Drosophila melanogaster: one gene and its partners. The protein of the gene in region 1 interacts with the protein of each later gene in a pairwise test. Each region holds a gene or a part of one and is shown in the gene's direction. Other genes may lie near its edges.

Region 1 (7,512 bases):
TGGCAAAATTCTGGATGGATTGTTACTTCGACTTACCATGACATTAGGACGACTGTGACAACGGCTGCCGCTATGCAGTGGAACGTGGATCTTGACGGACGGGGCAGGACTTGGAACATTTTGTATGGGAGTAGCACCAAGATAGCACTTTGGAATCGCTTTTGTGGGTTGTGATTTCGATTTTCAGCTCCCGCGGTTGGCGGACTGATTTCCTTTCCGCTCCGCGATTTTAGGCGACTTCCGGTTCCCTTTCGCTGTCAAGTTTCGCTTGTTGTACGACACAATTACTTTACCGTTATGCCAGGTTCTGGGTCAGCTGTGCGCATGGGCAGAGTAACTGTTTTCGGTTTGCTCTCTTTGCTTTCGTCCTTCCCCTCTTTTATACCATCACTATGATTGCTCTTTGTTGAAAATCCGCGACTACTGCGTAGAAAATAAAATAACAATATTTATATGTAACTGTTGCATGAGCATTATTTCGGATACATGGCAATTTACCAAAATGTTTTTGTCATGTTTTTCTGGCTTTTGAGGCCCTGTCTCACTCACACAAGCGCACTTGTTTTCACAAACGTATACCGATTAAGAACAAAAAAAAACTCCGTAGTTCAGCATGGAAAAGGTGTCATTGGAACTGCGACTTTTCCACCAGTGATTAACCATTTAATTCGAAATACTTATTTCATCAACTTATTCCCTTGTTTTTCATAATTTATTGTCGCCGCCGTTGCTGTTGTTGTTGCTGTTTGCTGCTTGGCTTACCGGCTGTGTGCGAGTGAGACAGCAATGCAGCGTGGGAGAGGACGAAAGCAAGCATGTGGAAGAGAAACAGAGAGCGAAGCGCGTGGAAAAGTTGTAATAATAATAATAAGAACGGAGCCAAACACTAACGCCCAACTGAGCAGCAACAACAGCAACTACAGCCATACAAAACGTAAAAAACACCAAGTTGTTTGGCCTTCGATGTCTTTTTCAATTGCGTCGCAGAATGAAACACAAAAAAAAAAACAATACAGAAACACCACACTCAGCGTGTGTATGCATATGTACACATATATGTGCGAAACTTTGCGCTTTTTGTTTTTGTTTTCCTTACACTTTTACCGTATTTTTATAAAGGAAAGGGGCTAGGAATAAAGTTAGGGGTAAAAATTACTTGTATTCTACTTAAAAAACAAAGCTGATACTGTTGAAAAAAAATTGCACTCCCATCTCACGCACACACACACGACTGCATCTACAATGCAACTTTAAAGAGAGAAATCTGGAGCAATATAAACCGCAAATAGTTCATATTTGAAGTACAAACTCAGTTTTGCGGACGTTCTTTGCAAAAACGGTTTTAGATCGTTTTGTAACTAGATAACACACACACATAACATATGCAAACAGAAGTTACGAACACAACATATCGACAAGCTGTAATAGAACTCGCATACTTTTCGCTATAGCTGGTGACTTTCGAAAATATTATGTTGACTCCCGAATTCCAGGCAAATTCGATCGCGCCAGAGCAACAATCAGCGCAAAAAAACACATCCAGTGAATGTGACCGCGCGCACGGCGAAGGAAAATACCATCCGGCGCAAATCAAATACCAAAATGTACCACACCAGTTTCGATAACCACCTAGTAAACTGTTGAATTCGGCCAGCTGTTTCAAATTAGTTTGTTAAGAACCAATAAAAGTTAAGTTTTCGCAGACAATGTTTCTTTAATTTTGACAAGATTTTGAAGCATACGAAATATACAATATAAGTTCCTGAACACTAATTTAATCCACCGTTTTCTTTACTATAATTCTGGAAGGACTGAAAACTTGTTCCTCTGCTAATCTGTGGAGTCCTCAAATTTTCTCTAAAAACGCTACTTCCAAAAGTCCGGTTATCGATATCTGACGTCAGGGCTGCATGGACTTCGTGTGAGTTTTGAATTGCCGTTTGAAAATAAATGTTTTCCCCAGCATTAAAGCAGCATTTCTCATTGGCTCTTGATGGTAGCTGCGATCCACGGTAGAAACATTGAATACAAAACTCTCAACGATTCGGGATATCATTTGATTGATGTAATGAACTCTTCAGAGGTTTCCTAATTTTTGGCGGGAAGTCGAGGGCTCCCTAGTGCCATCGTCATCTCTAATGGCAACTAAAACATAGCAGACATTTAATGAACTTTCACAAAACACCTAGATTCAGCTGACCTCTGAGAAGGCTTCCTGACATTTCGACGTCCCAACAAAAATTCCCAGTAGCAAAACACCAATGGATGCGACGTGGTGAGTGGGTCTTGGGATTTTATGAATCCCGGTTGCTTACGGGCTTCTAATTACTGATTTTGCTCAATCTAATGCTTCTCCAATTAAGCAGGGCAATGGAGCAGCTGCTGTCTGCAGTTGAGATGGGAGGTAGCCACAGCGAGGCCACCACACCAACGGCCACGACCACCATATCGATCTGGAGCGCCCCCTCCGAGGGCAGTGGCTCTAGTTCCATGGACCCTGTCTCCTTTCGGTTCCACTTGGACGGGCAGCCTATACTGCCACCGCTGGTGATTTAAATTCTTGGTCAGGGAGTGGCATTTACTGAGGCGTAACCATTTTACTTTGTTCCAGATGACGAGCGCCAAGAAGCGCGAGGTGCAGCTGGCCCGCCAGATGGCAGAAGCGCTGGAGAAGCGGTACCGCCTGGCCAGACACTCGGCGGGATCCGACATGGCCAGTAGGAGAAGTGTGTCACAGCTGCAGCAGACAGAAACGTTAATCTATGACAGCACACGGGGCCAGGCTCGTCCTCAGACTCTGGTCTTTGGCAAACAGTTGCCCACCATACAGGTGGATCCTCCCACGCCTCAACCATTTGTGAAATCAATAGAAAACACTTCCCCAAGGCGGCATAATCGCATTACCGATCGTATCCTGCAGTTCGAGCAGTCGGGACTGGGTAAGCTGCTGCCCAAAGTTCCAGATAAGTGTATCCTGCGCACAAGTCCTGCGGTAGCCGAAGACCAGCAGGATCAGGATACAAAGGACACAACGGCAAGGGAGCTCGGCAGTCCACTGGCAGAACCAGCTAATTTTCAGCGTTCGAGAAGTTTCACACTAGAGGAGCCCTCCCAGGTTCTCGTGGAGCACATGGAGAGGGAGGCCCTGGCTGTGAAACCCAGCCAGAGTTTGGCCAACTTCGAGAAGCAGACCATCGAGTCTCAGGCCAAGCGGGTGAACCGTAGTGCAAGGAGTATTAGCAGCAAAATTAGCCACAACAGCTACAATAGCAACAGTAGCGCCGCAACCAAGAGCACCATCGCCACTAAAACCACAACCGCCGGCAGCAGCTGTTCTAGGCGGGATCGCGAGGTGGAGCGTATAATAGAACGGGCGCTGGACGAGCATGGCGCTTTGGAAGCCAGCCGCAAGGCAGGAGTGCGCAACTATCTGCGTGGCCATCGGGAGCGAATGAATCAATTGGTCATTCACCAGGAGAAGGAACGTCGTCGCATGCAGGCCGAGTTTGATCATCAGCAGCGTCAGCTCATAGAGGAACTGTGTGCCGAAATTGATGTTTCCTCGGCCACCGAAAATCCTGACAGTCTGATATCGCAAAGCACCAGTACGGGAGACCTGCAGCGTTTTTCCCCCTCGCCTACGTTACCCTCCTTTTCAGAGGACATAGAAGACTTTCCGACGATGGAAGACAAGTGCCAAATTGCGGGGCCTTCTTCCGCTCGCAAGAGGCTGTTTAGTCCAAAACCATCAAAGGACTCGGAACCGCAGCTGCTCAGTGCCCCCAGCACACCGCGATCGTTGCCCCTCCGGAACAGCAGCTTAACCAATAGCAGACGAAGTGTCCAAGTTGTCCGGCGCCGATCGCAATCTGTGGGCGGTAGTCTAGTAAAAACAATCACCGCAGCAGACCGCGAGGTGAAGAAATCGCCAGCGAAGCCTGGAGGTGGAGCAGGACGACCGAAAAGTTCCCCGGGAAAAAATAGCTCCATTATAGCGAAAAGGGGAAGCGCCCCACCAAAAAGCGCCTCACCGACCAAGCGGCTGGGCAATGTAAGTTTTTCAAGCGAATCTGAGCGATATTTTATTTGCTTTAAGTCACAAAGGTTTTCATTTGTGCCAACCTAAGTTAGCAGCTAATTTGGTTGGACTCTTACTTTAAATCTCTGCTATTTGACCTTTCCTTTTATTTAACTAAAGCATTAACGATTTTTTATTTATGGTCCTCTATTTTTATACCCGTTACTCTTAGAGTAAAAGGGTATACTAGATTCGTTGAATAGTATGCTACAGGCAGAATGAATCGTTTCCGACCATATAAAGTATATATATTCTTGATCAGGATCTATAGCCGAGTCGGTCCGGCCATATCCGTCTGTTCGTATGAACGTCAAAATCTCAGGAACTATAAAAGCTTGAATATATGTTGGATATTTTTCACAATTTTATTAGACATGTACATTTCTATTGACATTTTTAATTAATTTTTAAATTTTTTCTCATTTTATTCCCAATTTTGTATCGATATCCCAGAAAAATTATGATGAAATTTCTAGTTTGCATATCCACTAGCTGAGTAACGGGTATCTGATAGCATTCTTTTTTGCTTTATATTGATATTGATATTGATATTCTTAGCATAATCACTTAATATAATAATTAGGTATTTTATCCCTAAAAAAGTGAAAACCTTGGCGATATAATCTGTAATATCTATTTCCTGTACTCCCATTCTATTATTTCCTCTTCCCCAACACAAACAGCGCAAGAAGCCCTAGCAATTCGGGTAGTCAGTTATGCAAGTGCCTTAACAAAGACTGCGAGGAAATCGAGGGACCAAGCCTCTAGCACCAGTAGCTAACCTAATTACTAACCCAACTAGCAAGTGCCTTCGTTCCCTGTTTAATTTCGCCTCTAATCCCTGCCAGAAATATGTCGAGCTGAAACAGGAAGAGCGCCAGTGGGCGGCCACACGTATTAATGCCGGTGTGCGAGGATTTTTGGTCCGCCGGCTTTTTGCAACCGAGCAAGTGCAGCGCATTGTCCAAACCATCAGAGACACCCTGATCTTCGTGTTGAACCTGCACCTGGAAACTTGTGGACATGGCCTGGATGCAGAGGAGCCTGCAAACTTGCGCCTCAAGGCGCGATTGCTTCAACAGGTGGGTTACTTGGTTACTTGTCTAGGTGTAAAAGGTGCCAAATGTGTACATTAGGCTTGGATGATAAAACTAGAAATTAATTATTATCTGAGTGAAGGGTATGCGATAGTCAAAAAACTCGACTGCAGTGTTACCTACTGTGCTTACATTGACTTTGGTTTAACTTTGAGTAAGCAAAACCAAAACTACTGGTATTTTAGAATAATTAATGCGATTTTATATAAATATTTGATTTGAAATTGCCTTGTTTGCAAACTTAATACAAGCTGACTACTTTTTCCTTTATATTCATTGAATTAACTCATAGCTCTGCTCCGCCAGTCGTACCCTGCACCTGATCTTCTTCCAGACCAACATAAAGGACCGCATGGAGATCATCGCTCGGGATCGCCAGAGGATCAAGACCAAACTACTCCTCAAACATCGCCGATTGGATTAGGATTTCATAGGTTAGATTGCTCGAATAAAGGAGGAAACGATAAACGAAGCATTCTTGTTTTAACTAAACACATTTTTATTAAGTTTAAGTTTTCTGGTTCCACTTTCTCTCTATACATTTTTACATTTTTGTACCCTTTTTGTACTCTACGAGTAAATGGGTATACTATATTCGTTGAAAAGTATGTAACAGATAGAAGAAAGCGTTTCCCATTATAAAAAGTATATATATTCTTGATCAGGATCGCTAGACGAGTCGATCTGGCCACGTCCGTCTGTCATTACGTCCGTATGAACGTCAGGATCTCAGAAACTATACAGGCTAGAATGTTCAGATTTATCATGCAGCTTCCAGAGACATAGACGCGATTTGCCAAAAAACTCTGCCACGCCCACTCTAACGCCTAAAAACAGCCAAAAGCTGTCAAGCCCACACTTTTGAAAAATGTTTTGTTTTTTCTACGTTTTTTTGCTTGTTTTGCCCATTTCTATCGATATATAATAAAAAAAAACTCCCAAAACGGCGTTTGGCCCACAGCGCCCACAACTCGAACCATTTACATATATATTTTTTCTCATTTTATTTCCCAACTTTGCGTTGGCATATTCATTAGCTGAGTAACGGGTATCTGATAGCCGACTATAGCAATCTCTCTTGTTATTATTTAATTTGTATTATGGAATATATATATTTGAGCTGAAATGGAAGAAAATATGTATATGTTAATACTTAAATATTAAGTATATTTTTAAATATTAAATATTAAAAAAATATTAAAATAATATAAAATTTAATGGGTAGATTCGGTAGTATCCTTAACTACATACACAAATTAATTCTTACGATTAATAAGCAATTCTAACAAACAAATATACATACTAGTCGCAATATTGAACTGAAATACATTTATATACTTATTTTTGGTTATATCTCTCTATTATCTTTTTAATACCTTTTAATACCTTTTCTTTCTTGATTTACAGAACAGCTGTTTGGCAAAAGCCCGCGTGATTTTTTGCAGCCAAGCTTTCAAGACATTGCGGAGCTTTCTAGACAAATTCGCCCTGAAAGCTGCGGCGGATTGCCAAAACAAACGGAACTTTTAAAGCGAGTAGTCGTGTGTGCGTGTGATGGCCTTAAAAGAAAACAGCAAAGGCAGACAAATAATCAAAAGCGAGAGAAAACTAGTTTAATAACAATTAATTATTAGTGAGCACGTAACCCACAGCAATTGGCCGACCTCCCGCTCATCCTGTTATTCACCCAGCTGCCCGCGTGCCTTGCCCACCCAATTCCATAATTCCGCCGGCGGCGAATTTAGAACGACACACCAAATTGAAAAAATAATAATACAAATAATAAAACCACACCAATAACAGATTTCGTAACTCGTAAATCGAAGGACAGTGAGAGAAAAAATCGTTAACAAAAATATAAGCGCACACTTATATTTTTAACACGCGGCAAAGTTGCGTGCGTGGGGGTGAGAGTGAAAAATGTAAAAACAGAATACGAAAAACGTTTCCCAGTGTTGTTGTTTGCTCCTTGTTTTGTTTGGATAACTCGCACTAACACCAACACAAAGGATTACCATGTCCTACACCGAGTTGGAATCAGGGTACCAGGATATATCCCAGCAGCATCAGCAGCAAAATCCGCATCAAAGTCAGCCGCAGCAGCGGGTCGGTTTCTACTTGGGATTACAGGATGGCAACGTATGCGCTCCACCGTTTTACCACTAAAATCTAGCGTAACCCACTAAAACACATAATTTTTTTTATTTGCATACTATATGTGCTATACATGCACGTATTTATTTTTAAAACAAGTCAAATCGATTTTTATTTAATTTTAAATAGTGTTTTATAAGAATGTGAAATATAAAATTATGAGCATTGAAAAAGTATTTAAAC
Region 2 (4,818 bases), on another chromosome or scaffold:
CAACCAACTAAAATGCATAACGAACGAACAAACAAATGACGAAATAGATACATATTTTCTCACACTTCATTGGCTTATCGAAGGTATAAAATCGACAATTACAGGATAGATCTAGATCGCAACACAGCCGAACCGACGACGATCGACTTCACAGGCTGCTGGCAAACGGTCCGTGCAACTTTTAGTGCATTTAAATAAATTATAAACACAAAAACAAAAGCAAACACAAAAATGATCGAAGGAGCGTAAGCGAAACATAAGCAGTTCATATTTACAGGAGCTAAATAAGTAATGCGGGGGGTTTGCGGCCAAAGAGAAGTTAAATTGTAGTTAGAGGTGGATGGATTAATACCCTAGGATGGCATTTAGGGCAAGGATCAGACGAAAAGGGCGCGTAGCATTACACCTTTTACATTAAACGACGATACGATGCCGCGCATCCAATTTGAAACTGTACGTATTGAATTTATGTTTAGTGTCTGCAGCATGCGGGGGATGTGAAGGAAGGAAGGAGGGAAGAAAAAGGATCGACGGGCGAAGAGCTAAATACATTTAAGGGTTAGATTTTCTGCGAAAGGACTGAAGTTAAGGCAACGTAGCGTTTAAATGCAAAATTGAATTGAATTGAATTGATGACGAAACCGAGTGTTATGGATAATGGAGCGTGCGCGAATGCGATTGGTGACGAAAATTACTTGTTTTAAGGCTGGACTTATGTAATTTCGAGCAAAAACGATAGTAGCGAAACAAAAACATGTAAAATGCAGATATAATATTTTTATAATTAAAACAAAGGTACCCCCACCCCACTACCCTTATCTTAATATGTTTAATTCAACTGCAATTATCGTTAAAGACGTATTTACTGTTTGTGATCCAAATTCATTGATTAAACGTAAACTACACAAAGATACAATTGTTGCATGGGCAAGGTTTGAAGTCCGGGTTCGCAAAGTACCCACAAGTACTCGATCCCCGGGTCTCAAAGACGAGGAAATCACGAGTCAATAAGCCAGGTTTAAAACTTGCAGGTGCGTCGTCAATGGCTCGCAATATTTTCCGGTCGGGCCAAATCCGAAAATGGCCTGCCCGAAAATTATACACACCTTACAGGACCGAGTGTTAAGAGTACTTTTGGACTCTCTGCGAACCCATAGAAATAGAGCAGGAACAGTAAATTGTACTTAATTGAAAAATGATATAATAAAACACCGCCACTTTGAAATATATTTACTTGAATCAAATAATATTAATGAGTATATATAACTTTGTACTTGAATAATATTTTATTTATATTTACCTTAAGTCAATAAAAATTCTAATAAATTATAATCACCCAAAAATGCATTTTGTTCAAATGTCGAGGGGAGTTCTTTTCAACTGCTGATTGGAAAATTGATGCCTTTTATTATTGATATTTGCGAATACTGATTGACAAGCTGCGAACCTTGAGTAAACGTATTCTTCCCAAAAATAAAATATAAAATAAATAAAGAAGGCTAATAAGTTTCATAGTGGGGTGTAAATTAAACAATTCAAAAGAACCGCCCAACTGTGGTTTATAAGCTTGGCGCACTACGCCAAGTAAAATACATGTAGAAAACGTGACGGCGTTGCCACTCTTATTGTATTTAGCTAGTTTAACCACCAAATAAACAGCGAAGTTCTCAACCATATGTGAGTTGCGTAGCCATACTACATTTGAAGCAAAAAACCCTAGTGTCGCTGCCGTCTTGTGGTATTTTCGTTGGCCCGAAAAACGGTCCTACCAAAATGGTACCTCCGGCCACACGGATGAATTCGTCGTCATTCGTCGGAATCATTCGAACTTTGAAAATGGATCGGTAGCTGGGAAGGAAACTTAAAGCGAAATACGCAAAGAAAACGGCTTTTGTCCGCTATTCAGCGATTTTTTTTGTGTTGTAATCAGCAGAGGAAATTTTAACGACCAACTCCACCGCCACACCAGCCATCTCCAGCAGCTCCGGAAAATAAAATAGAACTAAATTAACGCCTCCATCACTACAACAACCATCTCACCAACAACTACAAGAGCAACAACCACAGCAACAGCACTACTGCACCAAGCCCACAAAGAAGAGGTGAAACGCAAAAATCGCAATACCCGAAGAAAAAAACAAAAAATATCGCAGATAACCGAAAAAAGCGGTGCAAATAGATAAACCCCATTTTTTGCTTGAGCTTTTTTCGCCTGTGTGATGAGAGAAATCAGCAGCAGCCATCGATTACAACAACAACAGCAGCCACACCAACGACGACTCAACCACCAAACCAAGAATAAATAAACAGCGGAGAGCGATAGATAGAGAGAGAGAGAGAGAGGAGCATCTGCAGCAGAATTGAATCAGTTTTTTCATCAACCGCCGCATTGTATTAAAAACACAAAAATCCCATAGGCGGCCACCATTTTGATTTTGAATGAACTGAACGAGAAGAGAGGAAAGAGCACGAGAGACTGAGAAAAACTGCTGCTCATTTGTTGCACCGTAAACCCTTTTTCCAGCTTGTAAGCACTCTGCCTGTCTCACTCTAATCGCGTCCAGGAGCACCGTACAGTAACAACAACAGCAACAACATGGTGGAGCCCAAGTCCGGGACAGCTGCTTCTGCCGCTGCTGCGAAAGCAAGCAACAACAATAACAACAACCACCCCCGTGGATCTGGGGACAGCGGCATCCGGAGTGGCAGCGGCATTTCCTGCAGCAACACGGACAACAGCTGCAGCCAGAGTCAGTCAGGTGAGCAATTTGAGTTTCTAGAACTCTGGGAGTTTGACACTAAATTCCCATAGCTGAGAAGCAAACTGTGATGCATGAGATATATTTTGGAAACCTTCTGAAGAGATTTCGCATATTTGCGCTTCGTGTGTCACCAGTTTAATTTTAACTAGACAACATGTTAACAGAATGATGAAATAATTGCAAATATTTGCTCTGACTGTGAATTTGGCAGCTCTTTCGTATAAATTTGAACTTCTACCTATTGGAAATTCACCTGTATCTCTGTCGTAATATTGTTGTATTGCCTAAATATAAAGTATATTTCGTAGGCAACAGTTATTTGCATGCCAAAAGAAAACAAAAGCCTTATTTAAGCATATAATTATTATTTTGAGAATGTGACAAACGTTCTTTGCTTCTTAAAGTTGTACCTATAAAATACGATTTGTAGGATATTTCTGCTAAAATGCAATGGTAAAAAAAAGATATACGTTAATGTAATATTTTGTATCGGAAGTTATACTTCCTCTAAAGTTCCTAACCATATGTATGTATTATTCTGCTTGTCATTGGGTGGGGACTGACTACCAATCAGAGAAAAGACCCGACCATTGCTCCTACGCTTTCATTCAGTGGATTTCTAGTCAGTTATCGGCAAAGCTGGGCCAGGCAGCACTTTCGTTTCGTTTACCCTTGCTAATCAATCGAACGAACTAGGGAGCATTGACTGACTGGGCCACGTTGCGCACCGGGTGCCGCAGTGTATTTCCTTGACGTCACACGATGTTCGAGAACATGCATGCTGTCTGCCTGCCGGCGCCCAACCCCACCACCCACTCCGCTTCCCTTCACCCACCCCGCACAGTCTGTGTGGTGTTTACAGTTGTTTTGTTTCGCCAAGAGAACCCCATTGCATCATTCGACTGGGGCCATTAAGCTGAATATAAGTGTGTATGTGCCCTAATTTTAGGGGTATTCCAGCATCTGGACTTTATAACCATCACTGGGGGTGTTATTATTGTACACAAGTTCTTAATTATATGTGGGATTTGATATATGCTATAAAATAACAATGACAAAGATCAACTAAATCCACTAATTAGTCATATTCTAACTGGAGGTTAAACTAGAAGTTTGTTGTTTTCGTTTAGATAGTGATTATAGTCCATACTTTGTGTTTATCAAAGATAATCTTATGAAACAGGACAGATTGTTGTGTAAATATGCTAGATACGGTTGGGTTGGACCACTGACATCCACTAATTCCACTAATATCCTATAAAATCGGGCATAAGTGAGCTGCTTTGAAAAATCATGAAATCCATATGGGTAAACTGCTGTACAATAGGAATATATTCACACATACATATGTAGATTTCAGCACCAATAGTTACCCTTTGTAATTAGACCAGTTGACTGGTATAAATTCGCATAATATGATTATCAATTTAAGCAATACTAGATTCCAAGCACAAAAGGGTATTCCTTTTCCCTGCCATTCCACCAACACCACCAAAGCTGCCGGCGAAGTGAGAGAGACGGCACTAGTATCTGTGCCAGCTAGCCGAGACCGAGAAATTGAAATTGAGCGTGTGCAGGCAGTTATGGAAATGGAAAATGACTCATGATGGCTGATCGATTGAGCGTAATGCACTGACACTCGTGTTCAAATGCGTATTCGTGCCCAAAATGCAGCGAACGCGGCGAAATGTGAACAAACTACGATTATAACCTTCATGACGTTTATTGCACTTGGTGTGACGTTCGTTGCTTGGCCTCCCACACATATAAAATGTGTGCGCCCATTAGGAGTTGTGCTGGAGTGGATTTTGCAGCTGCAATCAACTGAGTGCAAAACGCTGTCAATTGGAGCCCACCAGCTGGAAACTTGTTTTCCCCCCAACGATCCATAATAATTTTCCATAATTATCGAGAAGTTTTTCATTCTATCGAGGCCTATCGATAGGAGGACATCTAGTGGTGCCTACGTGCAGCCTCCTCCGATTCATGAAATCAGCCCAATATATCTCTGTCTCCCTTGCTCGTTTGCGCAAAAGCCCTGAGAGAGAAATTTATT
Region 3 (6,124 bases), on another chromosome or scaffold:
CTGACCAAGTGGATTGTTAAGCCGCCGGCGAGTGCCCGAGGCACGGGCATACGCATTGTGAACAAGTGGAGCCAATTTCCCAAAGATCGTCCTCTGGTGGTTCAGAAGTGGGTGCCCATAACTTCGTCTTCTTTAAAAATCTTCCCTAACCCTAAACCCCACTTCAGATACATTGAACGTCCGCTGTTGATCAACGACAATAAGTTCGATATGCGTCTGTATGTGGTACTGACCTCGATCAACCCACTCCGCATCTATATGTACAAGGATGGACTGGCGCGTTTCGCGTCCGTTAAGTACAGCTCGGAGCTGAGCAATCTGGACGAGCGCTGCATGCACCTGACCAACTACAGCATCAACAAGTTCTCGCAGAACTATGCGAAGAACGAGGATTTCAATGCCTGCCAGGGCCACAAGTGGACGCTTCAATCGCTGTGGTCCTGCCTGGAGAATCGTGGCGTGAACACTAAGCGCCTGTGGGCCACGCTACGGAATCTGGTCATCAAGGGCATCGTGAGCGGGGAATCGGGATTGAATCGCATGTACCGCCAGAATGTGAACTTTCGCTACAATTGCTTCGAGTTGTTTGGCTTCGATGTGCTCCTGGATGAGAATCTAGTGCCCTGGCTGTTGGAGATAAATATATCGCCGTCGTTGCATTCGGAATTGCCACTGGATCTGCACGTGAAGGGTCCGCTCATTCAGGCCGTGCTGAATACGGCTCTATATCAGGTGCCGCCTAAGCTGAACGAACGTCAGCAGGCGGACATCCTGGAGGAGCTTAATCTGACCGGTCCGTTGTGCCATGACAAACGCATCTTCACCACCTGCCTGACTGCAGAGGAGGTCCGCAAACATAACCAGTACACCAATCGGAGCATCGAATTCCGGGAGGAGTACGTTGATACCATACTGGACAATCTACTGCCGGACGATGTCCGTTGCCTGATCGTTGCCGAGGACGAGCTGGCCAGGTGTCAGCCGCTGGAACGGATCTTCCCCACCGCCGGCACACATGTATATCTGCGCTATGTCGAGAATGCCCGGTACTATAATCGCCTGCTGGACGCCTGGGAGACGAAGTACGCCAAGAATAGGGAAATGGGCATTGCCTTGCTGTCGCGCTATTGCCGGGACAAATACCATTTACAGGTGTCGGACGCCGCCATGGAAAAGGTGAACGATCAATTCAATTCAATTGAATTTCCCCTTCCGTACCGCTTCTGTAGTCCATTTTCAAGTCATATTTCTTATCTAGGAACCAAATGTTGCACTTACCGAGATCGATATGCTGCACGTGCGAAAGGATGAGGTCTTGGACGGTGCCACCACGCTGGCCATACTTAAGCCCGTTGTCCAGGAGGGCTGCGAGGTGGCGCCGATTCCGGATGCCTGCATCGAGATCAAGTCCTGAAATTGAACCGAACTATCAGCACTATCACCATTGCTTCTTCCATTGCCATTGCCATTTCCATTCCCGTTTCCGTTACCAGCTCACAGCTGTGCCAGCATCCCGTGCAGATGTGCTCCGGAATTGTATCCGCTCAGTAAATTCACTTAACTTCGATCGTCTTTGGTGGCAATAGCCTGTTTTGGCATCCAGCTAGAAATTGGATCACACGTCATTTCAGTAAATATAAAACACTACGGGGTGTTTAAAAAAATTATGAAAATAAATATTTTATTTAAATTTAGTTCTTATTATTTATTCTTTATGCGAACACTGTAAACTGTAAAGAGTATCGGTTTTCTTATTGGGTAATTGCTCAGCACAGTACTAAGCTTTTTGAACTACGCGGGCTTTGGCAGTTGCGATAAGTCTAAGGAAGTGCAATCGATAACTAGCGGCGCAGTCTTGAGTTTTCAAGCTGCCGATAACGACATCACGCCTCCAATTATCGATAGACGTAGTATAATAACAATAAACAAAAATTCACTGTATTGCACGGCGCTAAAATAAAAATTAAGTTTGCAAATCATGGCGTGGACTGAATTATAAACCCGGCTTGAAACCAAAGGACTGCAAGTGGAACAGCTGAGCTGCACACTTGGGAAATTGCCAATCTGAAACTGCGTGGAAAAAAGAGTGGCCCATTGATTTTTCGCTAAGTATCTGCTGATTAAAAAAAAATTGACCGCAGCGTTGGAATTTCGGCCTGCCAATCAGAAAAATGAGTGGTAAGAAGCCAGTTCTATGCAAGAATGGGCACTATATATTAGTAACTAATAATATGATTTGCGGGGATTGGGATTTGCGTGCTGACTGTATGGGAATTTGCAGTCTGCTTTTGGGGAGTTGGGGTTAATGTTCAGCGGGCCGGGGGCTTCGAGGTCCTGGCTAAAAAGGACGCACCTGCGCCCTGACCTCCTCTCCAACTTCTTGAAAAGTGCGGACCCCTCGATGAAGTCATCAATTTTGTAACATGCACACGTATACAGTGAAGCTTGCATTATGTATTTCCTTTTTGGGCTTTTTGTTTTACATAATTCTGATATTGTGTTTAATGCATAATAAGTATGAAGTGGTAAACCTTAGTTTCTACCCACTGTGCTTTGTTAACCCAAACAGGCGACGAAAGTGGCGAGGAGAAGCACGTCCTGAACTTGTCCAAGCAAAAGCTGAAGAAGGTGCCCAAGCAGGACGATGCGCACAGCATACGGCAGCTCATCCTGGACGAGAACGAGCTGCAGAAGATCGACAACATAGACTCGTATCTCAAAATTGAAACGGTGACTTGCAACGTTCTGCGAAAAGAAACAAGTTCCTAATTAACAGAAATTCAAATATTTCAGCTCTCCTTGGCCAGAAATCAATTGCTGCGCATGTATGGCGTCTGCCGGCTGCATTGCCTGCGTGAACTGAATCTGTCCTTCAATGGCATACTCTCTATCGAGGGCCTGAAGGAATGCATCCATCTGCGCGTTCTGAATCTGGAGGGGAATAACATCAAGACCATCGAGCATCTGAACACGAATGTCAATCTGGAGTGCCTGAATCTGGCGGATAATAGCATTGGCAGCATTTCGGATATGTCCTATTTGCGCAATCTCAAGGAGCTATATTTGCACGGAAATCGCTTGACGCATCTGAGGCAGTGCGACAAGTGTTTGCCCACCTCACTGGAAACCCTAACGTTGGCCAAGAATAGCATCAACGATCTCAACGAGATCTGTACGCTGTCGCATCTGAGCAACTTGCTGAGCATTTCCATTGCGGATAATCCCTGTGTGACCATGATCAACAGTTTGGAGTGAGTTAGCTTAATGGATCATATGGATTGCGCTTAAAATGTAACATCTCTTGCAGTGGCTTTGATTACCGACCTTTTGTTTTAAACTGGTGCATGAGCCTCAAGTACATCGATGGCTTTGTGGTCGATCCTATTGAGAGTCTTAAGGCCGAATGGCTGTATAGCCAGGGACGTGGTCGCCAGTTCCGTGTGGGCGAGCAGCAGGGCTTGGCAAAATACCTAAGTTCTGTGTGCCCGCTGGTGGGCAAGGCGCTGGAAAATGAAAACGATAGGAAACTCCGGCTGATCCTCAGCAAGGCGCAACACCATCAGCGGCAGCTGCAGGAAGAGATCATGGATAACGCAAATAGTTCTGCCAGCACTTCGCCCTCATCCCATCGCAAGAAGCCCACGAGTCGCATTCAGTCGCCCAGATGTAAGTTATTAACTCCCTATCTATGCTTTTTCATATAACTTATATTTTTCTGTCTTCGATTTAAAGTCTCCCGCTTGAGTGGCCGCCAGGGATCACCGGAGTCCATGGTGAATAGCTATCACGGGAACAGCAGCAACAATAGCATTGTTAGCGACAATGGATCTACGAATCATTCGCTGCAAATGAGCATTTCGCTCATTGAGAACATTAAAAACGATGGCGAAGGCTTTAGTTTGGCCGGCAGCGGAATGTCCAGCAGCGTGACCACCAAGACATACAATTCCACGGAGTCCACGCCACGGAATATAACACCCAATCCCTACAATGGTATGACAATTAAAATATATTCAATGCAAGAGTGGAAAATGATGTTAATAGTAAACAACAATTCCACAGATCAAACGTTCATCAGTCAAACCCCATCTGGTGGTCCATTGGCGGCTGCCTCGAAAATGGTCCCAGTTCCGGAGACTCTGATGAGCCCGGATGTCTGTCCCGCCGCTGTGGCCCAAAGAGTTACGGTTACGGCACTGAACCCTCAGCTGCACAAGACCAAGATCAACAAAAATAAAGGTAGCCAGTAGTTGTTACTCTAGACTTTTAAAACGACACAGATTTCTAAAACATACATACACATTTACACTACAGACAACAAACTGAACTTGCCAAGAGTGCGAAGTCCACAACTGAAGAGGAACCAAAGCCCTACGAGCAGTCCACGGAGGATGGCCAATAAGTGCAGCGCGGACAACATGCAGGCACCGGAGAAACTCCAGCAATCGGCTGTTTTGGCCGATAGCGGTGGCTTCAGCACCGACGACGACGGCGAGCAAATCAACATAGAGAAACTGAGAGCAATCCGGAAGATGGCCGCTCAGAAGCAACAGCAGATGCATCAGGAGCAGCTGAAGCAGCAGGTGGACAACAACCTGAACTGCCAGGATCGGCTGATCGAGCACGTGACAGAGTCCTCGGCCGTTACCATCCAAAAGATGTGGCGAGGCTATCACACACGCAAGAAGACCAACAAGGACATAGCCGAGCGATTGCAGCGACGACGCACACAGGAGTATATCGAGTAGGTGGTCTCGTTTTAGGCAACATATATCGCAACTTTCTAATGCTCTATCTGTCGCATTCCTCAGACAACTCGGCAAGGATATGCTACTTACGAAGGCCCAGCTCGAGAACGAGCGAAAGATTCAGCAGCTGCAGATGCAGGCCATCAATGCGCTGTGGAAAAAGGTGTCCACCATGGAGGTGGATCCCAAGGGAATACCTGCTGCTGCGGAACAGGGCGAGGACTCCAATGGCGGAGGGTCTGGCCACCTGAGTCTCGATCAAAATTCAGCCGCCGTGGTAAATGATTTGGCGAAAAGATGCACCATGCTCACCGATCAGGTTCAAATGCTGCAAAGCTCGATTGGAACCATCGTCAACTGCCTCACAATGGTGTGCAATCTGCCGCAGGACGCTATTAAGAAGCAGGCCGAGATCATTGATTGCAGCTCCACTCAGACGGACCTCATTGCCGTACACACGCCGCAAATAGAGGACCTCACCAATTTTCCATTCACCAAAACAAGGCCCTCAACCTTGGCCCTAGAATCCAAGCACGAAGCTGCTCTGGCTTGTCCCAAAATCGATGAATTGAATGATGTCGACCTGAAGGAGACCCAAGAAGACTCGGAAAATCTTGATAAAGATCCATGAACAAATCCCAGTTAATAAATGAGGAGTATAAACGCTTTAAGGGTCGATCTCAGCGCTTATTAATTCCTTTCTTAGGCTTTTGTGTAGCTTTTGCAACAATATTAGATCGGTTACGAGAACTTAGAAGTAGCACCAGCATTCACAAACACATTACTTTGTTACATTCCTGAGATGCAGCGATGGTGGAAGACTTAACAATAGTATGAACAAATCGTAAATACAAATTTTTGTAAAGCACAAAAGGTGTTCTTGATTGCGGGCAGATTTTGTTCAAAAACAACACCAGCATTAACCAACAGTTTTTTTTTAATTAAGTTTGACAAATTTGTAAATAACCTAACTATGTGTGTGTTTGTACATCGTTCAGTCCTCTTCGCTGGATGTTTCCTCATCTTCCTCTTCGTCGGAGGAATCGCGATTTACAGGCCGATTTGTATTGGGCAGGAGATCATCCTCGAAATCGGAGTCGTCTTTGTTTTGGCTGGTGGCTTCCTCCTGTACAGGTTTCTTTGTGAATTTATCCGGCCAAATTGCAGCTTTTGTGTATTCCTTTATATGTTCGGGTGTGAGTATTTTGCAAATCTCGGCTTTGACTTTATCGCCCTCCTCAATCGGTTCGACCAGCAGAAAGTCGCCACGTTTCACCCACATGCTCTTGCGGAATTTGTTGGGCATCGAAACTAAAAGGGTCAGAAGGATACAAATTCATTATTAAGTATCAACATGAAATGAGTTGGGATGGGCT
Region 4 (8,002 bases), on another chromosome or scaffold:
GCGGAGTGAGTCACAGGTCGAAGCTGTTTGTTTATGCCATTCGTTTGCCATAAAAAATAGAGCAACAATTGAAATAGTCGGTTTTGAGCAATCCGAAAAGTGCTTCGTGAATGATTAGTGGAACTCAAAGTTCCCACTTCCTATCGCAATGTGCTTATCTACATATTAATAATAAGAATAATATGTTGTTACGATTTGATTATTCTATTAAGAATGCCTTTCAACATATCGCAGTCTGCTAATTGAACTGCCAGACATTCGAATTTTGAATGCAGTGAGTGCATTATAATCAAGTTCGCACTTTCAAATTGCGGTTGGGGTGAATATTCACGGGGGGGGTGGTGACAATTTGTCTGCCCGTGATTTTGAATAACAAACGAATAAAATGGGTAAAATTGCCAAGAGCATGCTATATGAAGTTCAAAGCACTCTGTATAATGAATGGCAATTATTTTAAATTGGTTTGTAAGCCAGAAATGTTCAGTAGAGCCGGGTTTTTCGTATTTTAAAGTTACAAATAGAAATTCACACTTTAATAGCTCAAAGTCTCATGAGGCCGGTTCCTAGAACTCACTCATAATATTTAATGGAATATCTTTTATAAGCCATTCAAAGTTTGATACTAATGGGTTGCAGTGACACAAATCAAATGGCAAACATTTTCCTGGTGCAATATAAATCTTTTTTGCTTCAGTCGGTCGAAGTTCAATGGGTGGAGATGCGGGACGATAATGGTCCAATAATCGGGCACTTAAGTGGCCAATCCGATAAGATTAGCCATAAATAATAATGAACTTGTTGCTTAGCTCCCCTTTTTGGCTCAGTGTCCAAAATATTCAATTGTAAATTACTCGAGCGACATCCAATCGGAATGTCAATCGCAGTTGCATGCCATTTCTAATTAGAAAAGAGTAGACGGGCCATTGATTTCCAACTGGATGGTGAGATATACATATGTACATATATGTACGCAAAAGGTGGAAAAGCGAAGGTTGCGACCGGCGAAATGGTTTCTGGGGTGTGGTAGGGGCGGCATCGGGGCGAGGGAGTTACCCGGGCGTGCGCCAGTGACATCATTTCGCTATTTCCATTTTCATTTCCAGCATATGCTTTGTTTGCACTACGAATTCATCAAGTGTCATTTGGCACTATGTGCGTACACTGTGCACATGTATGTGTGAGTAAAGTTTGTTTGCCTCAAAAATAAAGCAAACAAAAACATAAACTTAAAACAACACAATCCAACCGATGACGTCACGAGGGAGCCTTTTTATTGTTCAAAATGGAACAATGAATGGGTCACAAGGATAAGAATGATCAGAAATAGCACTTTGTTGAAGTTTAAATTGCAAATAACCGGTTGGCGAACAATGATTAGCGGTTACAAAGCGTTTGGCTGTATTCACAATCGCACAGCTACACTTTAGAGCGGCACGTAAACAAAACGATATGAAACCCAAGATAAGCATTTATACACACACACACACAGAGAGAAAAGTCTAGTTCTCCACCGCAGCGGCAAACAAACTCTATTATTTACCCGCTAAGCACAAACTCAAGTCCAATCAGATGGGCGACTTTTTTTTAAACCTACAGCGCTAGCGTGACCGTGCTTGCCATGCTGGGAAATAACAAACTCGGTTGCGACCAAATTATCGATAGACAAATATGGCAATTTAATACGCGTAGTTTAGTTTTGGTGAAATAAGGCAAATATCAGAGGCATAATTTATAAGATTATTAAGTAAAACCATATAAATAATATAAAAATAAAACAATTAGATGAATAAAAGTTCTTCAACAAAAAAGGGATTAGGTTCAAGTAATTGTTTATTATGTGTGAAAAGCACCTAATTCTTAGGGAGCAATAAAAGATTGATGCGGAATATTGTTCGTTGTTGCTGATGCGAGGTGTCAGGTGGAGAAATACTATTTTAATAGGTTTAGTATTTTTAGACCCTTATGCAGGGAACGCACACTCAAGCAGAGTGGCAACGCCAGCCAAAATTCGAGTTTGACGCTTTCAAAAATGACATCCTAAAACGTTTGCTGCCTGGAAGAGAAGTGAAAACGAACTAAAAGTCGGGTATTATTAGTCTAAGGAAATGAGTACCAAACAGAGCCCGGCCCTCCAGCTGGCGGAGGGGCAGCTAACCAAGCTGACTAGCGAATCGGAAGAGATCCGTATGCGCGCGCTCGACCAGATTGAGACGAGATTCATCAGGTGCCTGCAACTGGGCGAGCCGATACAGTTCAAGCCGGTCCTGCTGCTGAAGCAGCTCATCCGCTGGTTCGGGTACACACCGCCGCTGGTGCCCGACCGTGTGCTGGCCATGATTATGGAACTCCTTCGATCCGAGTACGCCGAGGCGGTGATTCGCAAGATTCCTTACGAACGCTTCAAGGCCGAGCTGCAGAAGGTTCGCCGTGTGCTACACAAGCAGGAGTCCAAGCGGGTCAGCGAATTGCTGGATGATATGAATTTGCTGCTTCTCGAGAAGTACAACATAGACCGGGTGACGCCGAGCGTCTCCAGCCTTAGTTCAAATGACATTCCCAGTCAGGCAACTGAATCCGCAGACAGCAGTTCGAATCAGATTTACGACAATCTGAAACCGGAAGATTACGAGCCCTCCTGGTCGCATCCGTGCTTGGACGATGTGGCCACCATGAAGAGCATGATTGATTTGCCACGAAATAGCGTTGAGTTGCAGTTGCAGCTCACCGAACTGATCATCCGTATGGGCGACTACCCAACTGAGTACTTTCTGCAGCCACCGTTCGTATTCTTGCATCTGGTTCAGTTGCAAACGATGACTGACGGTAGCCTGATACATGTGAACCGGGCACTAATTGCCTGCCTGCGGCTGCTGCAGCAGCGCATCTTGTTGCGCCGAAACACTCTGAGCTACGCGGACAGGTTCGATCCTCCGTCACGCCCCAAGCAAGTGAAGGTGGTGAGCGCCTTGGTAATTCTGCTGGAAAATTGCATGAAGCTGATTCGTCCGTTGCTGTTCAGCTGCACAAACGACAACTGGCACATAATGGAGCTGATCGTGGAAATAGTGCGGACCCACGATGTTCTCAGCTCAAAAATTCCCTTAGTGAGCATTACGCTCATCGCGGACGCGGTCAAAAGTCTGCTGGCGTATTGTAACAGTGTAGAAGGCAGTTGCATGACCCAGCTGATGGACTCGCTCAGGATTCCCCGCCTGCAATCGCTGATCCTTAACGGCGTGCTGCACGATATGGTGGCCTTAAATATAAACTATGACAAACGCATGGACCGACGCCAAGCCAAAGCACTCATCCAACCTATAGTTTTGGACAGCGCTTACCTGTCTGGCATGCCCGAGCGCATGAAGTCGCTAAACACTCTAATATCGTCTTTGGATTCTGGACCATCACCGGACGAGGAGTTGATCAAGCTGAAGCGGGCCTACAGCGTGGCCCTAAATCAATTACATCCGAATACGGAACTGACTGGGTCGCTGCTAATCCAGAAGTACAGACAAGTGTGCCTTGTGCTCGTCCAACTGGGCAGTGAGACATTGGTAAAGCAGCTCTTCGGAGCTGTTGTAAAATGCATTCCATTCTACGCGGGCAATTTAAAGCTAAGAAAGGATGCGGATGAGCTGCTTTACACCCTTGTTGATTTGCCTGCTCTCAAACTTCGTTCACTTATATATCGTTTAATGATCAAATCCACCGTGGCCCACTTTCATTCCTTTATGAACAAGACAGTCTATATGACCGGCTGCAGCAATGTGGATCTGATTCGTCAGCATATCTTAGGCGTGCCGCTAACTCCCCTGCTGTTACGCAGAATGATAATTCAGAGTTCGGAAGCAAATACTTCGGAACGTATGCAGCAGTGGTGCCTCGACTATCCTATAATGATTATGAAGCTAAACGCTATTCTAGCTCCGCAGGATTTCAGCGTTGTTTTCCCGTTGCTACTCCCCGTGCTGCCTCTGCTGATCAGCAGGTCGGTTACACACAAGATATTGCACAACGTCATATGGAACGTTTTAGAGCCGGACTCCAGCCGTTTGGATCCGCAATTGATGCTGCGCGGGTACGTTTACTTCATGTTCCATCCGGATGGCGAGGTTAGGAGCGAGGCCACCACTACAATTGCTTACGTGCTGCAATGTCAGGAGCAAACGAATAGATATTTGCCCACCGCAAGCAACGTACCGGTTGAGCACATCGCCAACGATCTCTGCATAATTCAACCACCATTCTGTTATAGAAGCATTTTCATCAAATGCTCTGATGAGCGGTTTCAAGGTCAGCGCAGCTTGGACGCCCTGTTCCGATTACTCCAGGCCAAGGACATAAAGTCGAATATCCGAAAGTCAACAATGACTCAATTAAATGTCTTGCTACGAAACTGGAGAGCTTGTGAGGAATTCTCCACAAAGGAGGATGGATATCGACTGATTATGGAGTCTCTGCACAACGCTCTGAAAAAGGGGAACGACACTGATATTCTGCTGCCCACTGTGAGTATCCTGATGAAGCTTCTGTTCAATGACGATGAGTTTCGATTAGAAGTCGCGAACACATTCGGGGTGTACACTTTACTGCTGAGGGCTTTATTCTTGTTCCCCCACTTGGAACAGTTGCGCCAGGATGTCAGTATATGCCTGTTCCAAATGCTGTTCCAGAATTGTATCACCTCCACTGAAGACAAACTGGTACTGAATGCGAATATGGAACCCCTGATTTTGCCTGTAACCTATGAAATTGAACATAAAGTTATACCCACTGCCGTTACGGAAGGATTGGAGCTGCAACAAAATGTGGAGGCGACCCATTTCGGGCGAGATAGGGCAAAAGCTGCACAGCATTGGCGACTGTATATGGCCTATCGCGTTTGCCAGGTTCCATCCAGCATTACTTTGGAGTCTGTGAGCGCTTTGGATATAAGGGAGTCTCTTAAGATCAAAATGGCCGATTTGGCGTTAGTAAGATCCTCCGACTTAAATGAGCAGCTAAGTTGTCAGTTTATCGCAGCGGAGAATTGCAGCAAACACGAGGATCTGCAAAAAACTGTGTCGGCCATTCAGCTATTTCTCGTGGTTCTGCGAAACTCATTAAGTGATACGGTGGCTGAGAACTTGTGGAAATTAATCCATAAGTACATCCGCTTAGCGCCGGGGAACGAAGCGGATGACAAGGTGTACAAGTCCATGCTGGATCTGTGCGTAACATGCATTCGCTTCAGCCAGCCACATGCTATCAACGGACTGAGCTACGCTCTGGAAACGGATCATCATCACAGCTTCCAATTACTCCTGCACGATAGCCAAATTTCTCTGGATAAGCTATTCCTGATTTGCCAGTGCATGATGCAGCTTTTGTCCAACGAGCTCAGTGATGATTCGATGAACTGGTATGGCAAGTTCTTTATGCAATTGAGTGCCGTGGCCAAGACGCACTTTGAATTGCGCCAGCTGCAGCACGTTCGCTGCATACTTTGCATGCTGCGCTTTGTAAGCGAGCGAAATCTGAAATTTAGTAATGCTCAGTTGATGGTGAGTAAAGGATCATCGTCATTAGATATTGATTTCTTACCTTGAATTTTTGTCCGCAGAGCTACTCTCAGCATTTTATCCAATTGTCCAGCAATTTACGTACCTCAACTCAAACCGGATCCGAGTGGCAGCGGGACTGCTTGTACATAATCTGTCAGCTCCAGATCCATCTAATATATCAGGAGCCAAAGGCGTCCAGCAAGGCCAGTATCCCAAACGATGTCGGAGCTTCATATAAGGTCTTGCGCTATTTCTTAACACTTTGCGGGCACGGTGACAGTGAAGTGCGTGCATTGTCCTGGGTATCGTTGGCCAATTGGATAACCATCTGTGGCTCGCAGGTAGCAGAAATTCTGCCTCGCCTGGATTTTCTACCCGGCGGACTGCCGGCTTGCTGTTTAACCACTCTGACGGATGCCCACGAAATGATGCTGATCAGGGAGTTGGCCGGACGAGTATTTATCCTTCTGATGCCGCTCATTGGTGCCGAAAGTAGCTTGGAATTGTTGCGGAAACATGACTTACTAAAGACCGCCTACAATTCGCTGAAAGCAATTCACGACACTCCCTGGATGTTCAAGAAGATAGTTGGTGAGCGGCATTCGTGTGAAGTAATTAGCTGCTATGTTGCCATATGCACCAAAATGGTGGCCATGAAGCCAGAGTGGTGTGCCGCGCTCTGCGGCCACAGTTTGATGAGTGGTCTCAGCGATGTGATGAAAAAACTCAAGTCGCAGGCGTCCTGTTCGATTCCGCTTGTGGAACTGTGTGCATCCCAAATTTGTGAATTGTACTCGATGTGCTACACTAATAACTTTGAGTTCCTTAAGATGACGATTTGTCGAGATTCTGTATTCTTGCAGAATTATTTAACGCTGATCAACGATGTTTTGAGTTTGGAATGTCCCGAGTACATGGTGATTCCCCTATTAAAGATGTTTCTCATATTCTGCACGGACTCGAATTCGAACTCATTTCTCATCGAACAGATAAAGAATAAGCCATCTCTATTCATGGATTTCTTCCTGTTTGGATTGCATGTGAAGCTTATTAATTCGCCATTTCAGCGCTTTACTCTGTCAGCATTATCACTTGTGTTCACCAAAGCTCAACTTGCTGCGTATGATATAAGCATGCTAAGTGAGTTGGAGAAGTTCGAATTAGCATTCAGTGATCCTGATATTGCTAAAGATGGCAAACAAGAATTCGAGTCAAAAAAGAAGCAATCTGTATCGCAATGCATCTACGATGAATCCTCGGATAATTCGGATGACAATAAGCAAAGGCCAAACCATGCGATCCAGGCCACTAATGCGGCTATTATAATTTTCCATCGCTTGGATCAGCTCTTTGACCGTTACTATCTATCGAAGGCCTTAAACTTTTTGGAACTTCCTGCAGTGGGCCAGGTGCAGGTTTGTGAAGCACTCGGCGAACTGCTTAAGGCATCAACCTGGGCCGTGAAAGCAGCCGGAGAATCGAAGCTGCTTGGCAAGGTAGTTCACATTCTGGACGATTTTCTCAATGACGAAAAAATCGGAAACGCCGCCGTCTATGTGAAGCGAGTGGGACCTCACAAGGCGCAAAGTATCATAAGCAATCTCTTGGTACTGATTAACATGCTATCCCAATGGCATAGTTCTCCCAATTCTGAGATCATCCAGACCAGTATGGCTGCGAATATCGCCAAAATCCTCATCCGCATTTGGCCTTGGTTATCGCACTCGTATCACTTAAAAAAGGTTACTGTCCAGCTGATTATGTTCCTTACGGAGCATTCATTCGAAATGTGTAAACAGATATCCCTGCTTCAGTCGGGACATGCCCAATCCCTGCTACACCTAATGGCTCGCGTCGCTGACTTCGAGACCACCAAGAAGGAGATTCCAAACAAAGAGCCATCTCTGAATATGGTGCCCGCACTAAGGGTTATGGTAAACTGCTGTTGCTGCACCGAGGGTCGGCTGAGTTTGTCCAAAATGAATTTGCTGGATATGTTTGACACAATCCTTCCTGCTAATCCGTGCTCAACACATCTTAAAGTGCGACCACCTGTACTGATTGCATGGCTCGGATTCTGGGAGGTATTTTCCCGGTACGACGTAGGAGGAAAGGCTTGCCATCTTCAATCTCTTATAAACACGATTCGGCGTAGTCCTCCATTGAGTCACAAGCGGATCCTGTGCCTTCGAATACTCCGCAACATGTGCTTCTTCAATGGTAATCGCCCCCGGCTCGTGGAGCTGGCTGACTTTATTAACCTGCTGCGTGATATTTTGGAGCAGAGGGTCCAAAAAGCACCCACATCCGAGAAAAACGGGCTGAACTCCTTCGAGGAGCACCGCCTGGCTGTCCTCATGTTGTGGAAACTCTTCGGTTTCGGTGCCAAATATAAGGGCATGCTGCGGGGCACCAAGCTCTTTAAACTGCTGATTGGCCTTCGGGTGGAGATGTCGGTG

Evidence for each region.
Region 2: the proteins of Cp110 (region 1) and Lk6 interact in a two-hybrid assay, tested with the Drosophila melanogaster proteins (one study listed by BioGRID).
Region 3: the proteins of Cp110 (region 1) and Cep97 interact in a two-hybrid assay, tested with the Drosophila melanogaster proteins (one study listed by BioGRID).
Region 4: the proteins of Cp110 (region 1) and ana3 interact in a two-hybrid assay, tested with the Drosophila melanogaster proteins (one study listed by BioGRID).

What each region holds. Positions count from the first base shown.
Region 1 is NC_004354.4:22,480,476-22,487,987, forward strand, and holds Cp110 (centriolar coiled coil protein 110kDa), read left to right. Parts: upstream 1-1,919; 5' UTR 1,920-2,065; exon of another isoform or gene 2,066-2,189; 5' UTR 2,190-2,261; coding exon 2,262-2,275; intron 2,276-2,363; coding exon of another isoform or gene 2,364-2,366; coding exon 2,367-2,547; intron 2,548-2,611; coding exon 2,612-4,051; intron 4,052-4,761; coding exon of another isoform or gene 4,762-4,776; exon of another isoform or gene 4,777-4,926; coding exon 4,927-5,160; exon of another isoform or gene 5,161-5,271; intron 5,272-5,467; coding exon 5,468-5,599; 3' UTR 5,600-5,609; exon of another isoform or gene 5,610-5,645; intron 5,646-6,582; 3' UTR 6,583-6,983; downstream 6,984-7,512. Other genes in the region: CG12576 (uncharacterized protein), read right to left, coding at 37-119; l(1)G0196 (lethal (1) G0196), read left to right, coding at 7,192-7,314.
Region 2 is NT_033777.3:11,761,425-11,766,242, reverse strand, and holds the start of Lk6 (Lk6 kinase), read left to right. Parts: upstream 1-1,785; 5' UTR 1,786-2,596; coding exon 2,597-2,759; intron 2,760-4,818.
Region 3 is NT_033779.5:3,865,811-3,871,934, forward strand, and holds Cep97 (centrosomal protein 97kDa), read left to right. Parts: upstream 1-1,886; 5' UTR 1,887-2,171; coding exon 2,172-2,178; intron 2,179-2,569; coding exon 2,570-2,730; intron 2,731-2,793; coding exon 2,794-3,251; intron 3,252-3,307; coding exon 3,308-3,666; intron 3,667-3,732; coding exon 3,733-3,993; intron 3,994-4,062; coding exon 4,063-4,239; intron 4,240-4,279; exon of another isoform or gene 4,280-4,314; coding exon 4,315-4,744; intron 4,745-4,811; coding exon 4,812-5,379; 3' UTR 5,380-5,615; downstream 5,616-6,124. Other genes in the region: TTLL4B (tubulin tyrosine ligase-like 4B), read left to right, coding at 1-107, 168-1,176, 1,259-1,414; CG31957 (uncharacterized protein), read right to left, coding at 5,743-6,059.
Region 4 is NT_033778.4:12,342,981-12,350,982, forward strand, and holds the start of ana3 (anastral spindle 3), read left to right. Parts: upstream 1-2,002; 5' UTR 2,003-2,105; coding exon 2,106-5,543; intron 5,544-5,602; coding exon 5,603-8,002. UniProt on the Drosophila melanogaster protein: Participes in the structural integrity of both centrioles and basal bodies and in centriole cohesion. Participates in the later stages of centriole assembly through the interaction with Rcd4 leading to the centriole to centrosome conversion.